Bombyx mori: one gene and its partner. Each later gene encodes a partner of the first gene's protein in a complex. Links are inferred from orthologs where the notes say so. Each region holds a gene or a part of one and is shown on either strand. Other genes may lie near its edges.

Region 1 (2,818 bases):
TAATTAAAGTGTTCCGATGATAATGTAAATATTGTTTGATTCTGTGACTACATTTTTAAAGAGTTCTGAAGTGTAAAATCTTTTAAAATAAACAGCAAAAAAAATAAAAACCTGTACGAAGACTTTGGTATTATGTATATATTGTGGCTTTGTTCAAATTTAATATGAAATGTATTTATGTCATAAGTATTGGAATGCTACATGTCCTGAATACATGTCCATAGCAGTTTTCATTATGTATTGAGATTTCAAAATTAGATTAGCATTTGCCAAAATAAAATTTCCATCACTGTTTTAGTTTTGTTTCCTTTACGGGATCTGCTTGTAGTCTACATATATGCAAAATGTCAATTGAACATTAGTCAGGTTCTCTCATTGAATTTTTTTCTCAATTCGACTGGGTATCCGTAAATGGATTCCCTAGGGGGTTCTCTCATTTATGTTCAATCTGAGAGCTGACTTCCTTTCACCACTAGAAATTGAACATGTGAAAATTCTGTATGATATTATAACTTTATAAATGTTTTCCTTTCAAATGGTTTTTCTGGGACCCAGAACATGAAACCTTTAAATTTTCTTAATTGAAGATTTTCTAAATGATTTAAGTTTCTTAAAAAGAAAACAAATTTCTTTAATAAGGTTTTTCATTTATTTTAGCTTACATGACCTGCGAGTAAAACTGCTATGTTCTTACACATACTTTTAATTTCATCGTTACTCAAATATTCTGAGCCCAAAATCGCGTTTCCTAGAGCCAATGTCTCTCTCATAGTGTTTGCTTTGATCCAAATCCTTCCATTCATGCCAGCTGCTAATTCAAATGGCCATTCGTTCTTTAATGAGTTCAATAATGGACAATGTGGGTTTAATATTTTTCTGATTAAATTCAAAGAGCATTTGAATACGAATCCTTCTTCTAATACTCCTAGTCGGCCTTTTTTTCCATGCGAATCAACGCACACAAGCTCTGGTTCCATATCTTTGCTTGCGTTTAACATTTTCGCGTACACAACATCGCCTGTTTTGATTGCGGGACGGTTTTTCTTCGTCGCTCCTTCGAACGACAGATATGACAGCGATGCGGCACAACTCCCCCCGACGTCCACACGGAAAATATCGCCCGCTTTCTGTACCACGGTACCGATCACATTTTCACCTCTAGAAGGCACATAGCGCTTCTGATAATTGTCCACCCAGTATGTATTTGGTGTTCGTTTCCGTAATACGCCTGGTTTTGTTATAAAAACACCGTTAATTTCTTTGCGAAGTCCAGGACCTAGTAGAACTTTTCCTTTTTCGCCAGCCGCCACGATCTCTGGACAGTGATCTCCAGGTAAAACTACATCATCTATTGAAACGTTCATGATATTTTTGTTCTATTTTAGTGAGAATTATAAATGAACACACAAATAAATACAAAGCCCTAACCTCTAAAACAGCAATGTTTATTTGATTTGATTGGTCCATCCAATAGGCAAAGAAAACATAGCGCATAGGTACCTACCAGTTAAATCTTATGCATTTAATTGTTGTATGAAAAATGAAATTTAGGCGAAGGAAATAAAATTAAGTAATGATAACATTAAATGTGTTGAGCCGAAACCAGTACCCATGTATGTAATTCTGATATCCATTGAAATAATGCTGACTTTAGGTTCCATCACAGAATACCATAATATGTCTAGGAAAGCTGCGTAATCATAGTCAAATAAACTAACTTCACTTCATTTCATTCATCCACATCATTTTCTATAGAAATATACCACAATATTTAAAAGATAGTATATGGTCTGATACTTTTGCCTTTCTAGATGAAAAAATACAACTATTGCTATTACTTTGACACTTTTGACAGTTGACTAACTCGCAGTGCCTAGAGGTTTGCACATGTTCGCTGTTTACATATCACCGAAAAACTAATTCGGAGTATTAGTTATATTAAAATGCCCGCAGTAATTGAAAATGACGTAATAAAATACAAGGGCAGCAATTACTTTCGTCAAAGATTGCTACTTTCGACTCTCAGTGGGCGTGCTATTAAAATAGAAGACATTCGCAGTACCAACGATGACCCGGGTCTTCGGGAATATGAAGTCAGTTTAATTCGGCTACTGGATAAAGTGACGAACGGTACTAGAGTCGAGCTGAGCGAAACCGGTACTTCAGTATATTACCAGCCTGGTATACTGATTGGTGGACAAGTTAATCACAACTGTTGTACCCAGAGAGGGATAGGTAAGTGGTCTTCAATAAAGTTTCTACTCACGTCAAATACGTTATTAGGAATGTAGTTTTCTAAATTAGAAGATTATATATTAGTTTGATTACAGCTGGAAATTCAGACAATTCAGCATACACATTCTCCTGATAGCTAAAAGCATGGAGAGTCTAGTTCAGTGGAGCAAGGCATGGACATAATAAATATTGTTAATATATACTATAGGATGGGATAATAAATCTTTTGTCAGGCATGCAACCGTCTAGGAGAGTCCAGTTTAAATACTAAAATAAGTTTTGACAGAGTGAGGACGCCTTGGTTGTTTTTGAAAGTAGTTTTAGTGACATCAGCTTGACTGATGTAACTATCTAAACTAAATCAAACCATACCATGGTCTGAACATTAACTCAGCATTTAAATACTTCCTGTTATGTTCATCCTCGGACTGACAAATTGAAATTAAAAAATAACCTTTTTAGGTTATTATCTTGAAGTTCTACTAGCCCTGGGACCATTCTGTAAGGAACCTTTAAATGCAGTCCTACAAGGAGTAACCCACAGTGACCTAGATGTATCAGTGGACAAAATAAAGACGGCAGC
Region 2 (4,350 bases), on another chromosome or scaffold:
AGGGTGGCCCATAAGTCCTTTGAAAAGTAAAATTTGAATAAAACGAACAGGGCGCGCGTGAGCGGTGCAGGGGAAGCGGGGGGAGTAACTTCGGTTTCTGGGAATTTAGTCGCGATGGAGCGTTTTACCGGAGCGGACCGTGCGTTTTATGTGCGCGAGTTTTATAAAAACGACAATTCGGCAACCGTTGCGCGGCGTAAATTTCGAGAACACAAAGGTTTACACAACTTTGACGACACTCCAACTCTTCAAACGATTAAGAACTGGGTTGCTAAGTTCGAGGAGACCGGTTCGACGTTAGATAAACCGCGGTTGGGTCGCCCAAGGACGTCACGTACGGAACAAAACATAGACACAGTGACACAGTCTATTCGCGAAAATCCGACACAGTCAACTCGTAAGCGCGCCAGAGCATTAAACGTATCCAGGACATCGTTACAACGGATTTTGAAGAAAGATTTACATGCCAGGACGTGGTTTCAACAGGATGGGGCCACTTCTCACACCTCTAACACTGCTATGCCCGTTATCCGTCAACTTTTTCCTGGCAAAGTTATCTCTAAGAGAGGAGACATTTCCTGGCCTCCACGTAGTCGAGATCTGACCCCGATGGATTTTTTTTTGTGGGGCTACCTTAAGGCTAAAGTATACGACACAAACCCGCGGTCGATTGAGGCCCTAAAAGAAAACATCCGCAGAGAAATGACAAGCATTTCAGCAGTGACGTGCCGCGCAGTCATCGACAATTTTAGACGTCGTTTGCAAGAGTGCCGTGTTCGCAACGGATTACATTTAGGAGATGTTATTTTCAAAAAATAATTCCCGTTTTTTAAGCTTTTTATGTAAATAAAAATTTAATTCATAATGTAATTAGTTTTATTTTAATAATTTTTTTTTCATATCAAAGGACTTATGGGCCACCCTGTATTATTCGTGAACTATTCCACGCGGACGAAGTCGCGGGCAAAAGCTAGTACATATATAAATGAATTGCTGTTCGTTAGTCTCGCTAAAGCTCGATAACGGCTGGACCGATTTGGCTAATTTTGGTCTTGAATGATTCGTGGAAGTCCAGAGAAGGTTTGAAAGGTAAATAAATATGAAAATGCTCGGAACTAAATAAAAATAACAATTTTGTTTTTCCTTTGTTGTGTCCCGCGTCGGACGGATTCCTTTTGTTTGTTTTAAGTTTATTTTATACAAAAGTTTAGGTCTTTTATTTATCGATTGAGGCACTACGAAGTCTGCCGGGTCAGCTAGTTAATAATAAATTCACAATTTAATAATACATTGACATTTAATAATAAAAATAATTTGGCCACTATTAAATATGTAGCATATTGAAATCTGGTAACCACTTTACATCGGTTGAGCTCATCAAATGATCTGTGAAATTAACAGAAAACATTATCTATATCAATTAAAACAATTTTCGTTTTTTTTTTTCATTATTTTTGTTTACAAGCCTGAAGCATGTGTAGAAAGCTTGAGAGTGAAGAACTACCCCCACTTAAAAGCAATAGGCAGATCATAACTGCTCCATGCTAGAAGCAGATAGATCATTAATCACCAGTACTTCCAATACCACCAATCTTCATTTTTAGGAACAATTCCAATTCACCCTCGTTAAATACAAATCAGTACTCACACCACCATAATCTTCTAGTTCCTGTATAGTAACATTTATACCAGTTCTAGGATACAGAGAACCAAGTATTGCTGCTTCACATGTCTGTTTCACTATATTCTCTTTGTATCTGTAATAACATGTAATATGATTACAATTCAACAATCGACTGTAACACCTATTTCTTGAAAATATTCCACAATTTAACATCACTTACAGATGTTTCTTTGAGAAACCTTTCATGAAGCATCAACAGAGACTGGTGGAAGACTTATGGGGATCAACCTCAATCACTTTGTTAATGTCTACCCTAACAGAGTCGCAGTGCTTTGCTGAATCTACCATGTCAGAAAAGTGACTCACTTAGAAGATCAAGCAAGAATATCAATAAGTTGTGTATCTGCCATATTGAACTCTGTTGTATCTAGTAATGTTTAAACAATACATTCATTAATGACAACCAAATTTATGTTTTTTGTAGACATATGACCCTCCTAATGGTAAGTGGTTACATTCGCTCACGCCAACGTCAATGTTAGGGGCAAAGCCAAGCAGCTACATGCCATTATGTACTCTCAAAGAAGCCTCGTTTGAAGAAGGACATGTCATAACGCTTGGGAAACACCACAGAGGGTAGTTCATTCCAAAACCGAACGGTGGATTTCATCTATTATTATACAAATGACCACTGACAAGCAAATATTGTTATTAAATTAATTTCCAATAGCCATATAGCTCTAATACATTACCTGTTTTCCACGCTCGGTTTCCCATTCTTATTACTGAACAAAACCTCAAGAGTTGACTTATCTATTCGTTGACTGGTCATCTTTATATCTAAAGGTCCATTTACGCTCACCAATGATACAGTATCCCCTGTAAAAATATTTACAAGCTTTGATGAACGATTTTCTGTCCAAGAAGTTTTAATTAACATTGTTGTACTTTTTAAGACGATGAACTTTGAATGTTCGTAAAATCTTACTGTTCTACTTATTTTTTGTAAAAATACTAAATTATTATTTAACATGTTGTACCTAAATTAAGAGTTTCGGTAAAATGACCACAGCTAGATTATAGGGCATAAAACTGTTTTTACCTTGTGATAAAATAGCTGATCCATCAGATTTGCTCAGGAAGTTGAATTCACATTTCATAGGTTTTAATTTAAAATCCTGTACATCCTTCATATCAGTCACCATATTTAATTCGTTCAAATGTTTAAATATATCTTGAAGTAGTACAATGAAACTTGATTGCTAATTGGGTTTCTGATTTTCTAAAATTCAAAGATGATCTTTATTTATTTTAATAACAAGAAAAATATAGAAAACACATAGACCTATATAGTATATATACCTATATAGGTTTCCTACTTCATTGAGAAAACATGTGAGAATGACATTGACAGTAGTATTCGTTTGTTTTTTACAACCAGAAGGGCAAAGCTATTGAAACATACAGCCTAATCTTTTGTAAATTCTATTTTATGAAGACGATATGAAAATGAAATGAAATTAGGTTGATTAATTTCAAACATTAATTAATTGGAATTAAATTAAAACTAAGACTTATTAAGACTATTTCAGTGGACTGTTTGGAAGATCCCGAGGATCAACGTCCGGTGACTTTGTTTTATTTACCTAAATTTATGCACTTTCCCAGATACTAAACAGTTCATAAACATCCATTAGTACATGTTTAAACATGAAGAAACATTAAATTAACAAAATAAAACTATTCTCACAACTTTGCTACTCGCGTTCCCGCCAAAAAGTCCAAAATAGGAGTACATAATTATCTATTTAGGTACATTGTCCTTAGTCTGAGTTTTTTAAAGTTGAGTTGACACAACGCCCTTATCGGCAAGAGTAGGTTCCAACTCATCATAATCTTTCATCTTTAAAAACTGAATCATTATCCCAATTTAGTACTTTTTTCAGTGTGCTCAATATTTTAAGTTTTTTGAAAAAAAATCTCTATCTTCGAGATCTATATATTAATACGTGAAGCAAAAACTGTGTATCCCTTTTTACGAAAATTGCGCGGAAGGAGGAGTATGAAGTTTTCCACACTTATAGAGAATATAGAGAAGAAGTGCACAATGCTAATCTTTTTTAAAATAATGCATAAAAGATACATTAAATCAATAAAGAAAACATTACACACACTACATACCATGTATTTGACGCACACACGCATGCATATTATTTATTGTTAAACTTTTGTTCTTTTTGTTGTCAAATTGAGAATAGATTAAATATTGTTTGTCTTTGTTAATATTTTTTAAAGTGTAGTCTTGGCGAAATTTGTAAAGAAGTATAAAATACAATCATAATAGTGTACTAGTTTAAATAAATGACTCAACTTAACAAGAACAAACACAGGAGAAGTAGCGTTCTGCAGAAAAGCTTTACTAGCACTCTACGAGTTATTAACTTCCACCAGGAAGCCTGATTTTATTGAAGGGAGCTATGTTATGTGTTTACTGGAACAGTCATTACGAAAATCTTGTATTAGCTATTCAAACTCGCCCGATATTTCTTCCCGAGAAGGGTATTTTCATTTTTTTCTTACAACAAGGACTTAGCAGTAGTACAGATCTAAAGTACAAAGAAGAAACCGTTAAACATACTTGTAAATTACCACCAAAAAAGTTACGTTTATTTAATAGGCTTCATAATATATTCTAAAATTTGTGCACAATATTGTAGTTATTTATT

What was found. Proteins that work in one complex are often made in the same cells at the same time.
Region 2: Rrp40 (region 1) and exosome complex component RRP46 share a complex: the UniProt entries of both Homo sapiens proteins name them as parts of the RNA exosome core complex. The link is inferred for Bombyx mori from reciprocal best matches to the Homo sapiens genes EXOSC3 and EXOSC5.

What each region holds. Positions count from the first base shown.
Region 1 is NC_085114.1:14,716,098-14,718,915, reverse strand, and holds Rrp40 (exosome complex exonuclease Rrp40), read right to left. Parts: upstream 1,444-2,818; 5' UTR 1,365-1,443; coding exon 654-1,364; 3' UTR 631-653; downstream 1-630. Other genes in the region: probable RNA 3'-terminal phosphate cyclase-like protein, read left to right, coding at 1,944-2,235, 2,698-2,818. UniProt on the Homo sapiens protein: Non-catalytic component of the RNA exosome complex which has 3'->5' exoribonuclease activity and participates in a multitude of cellular RNA processing and degradation events.
Region 2 is NC_085131.1:1,264,038-1,268,387, reverse strand, and holds the start of exosome complex component RRP46, read right to left. Parts: upstream 3,025-4,350; 5' UTR 2,987-3,024; intron 2,981-2,986; exon of another isoform or gene 2,907-2,980; 5' UTR 2,830-2,906; coding exon 2,727-2,829; intron 2,504-2,726; coding exon 2,377-2,503; intron 1,758-2,376; coding exon 1,649-1,757; intron 1-1,648. UniProt on the Homo sapiens protein: Non-catalytic component of the RNA exosome complex which has 3'->5' exoribonuclease activity and participates in a multitude of cellular RNA processing and degradation events.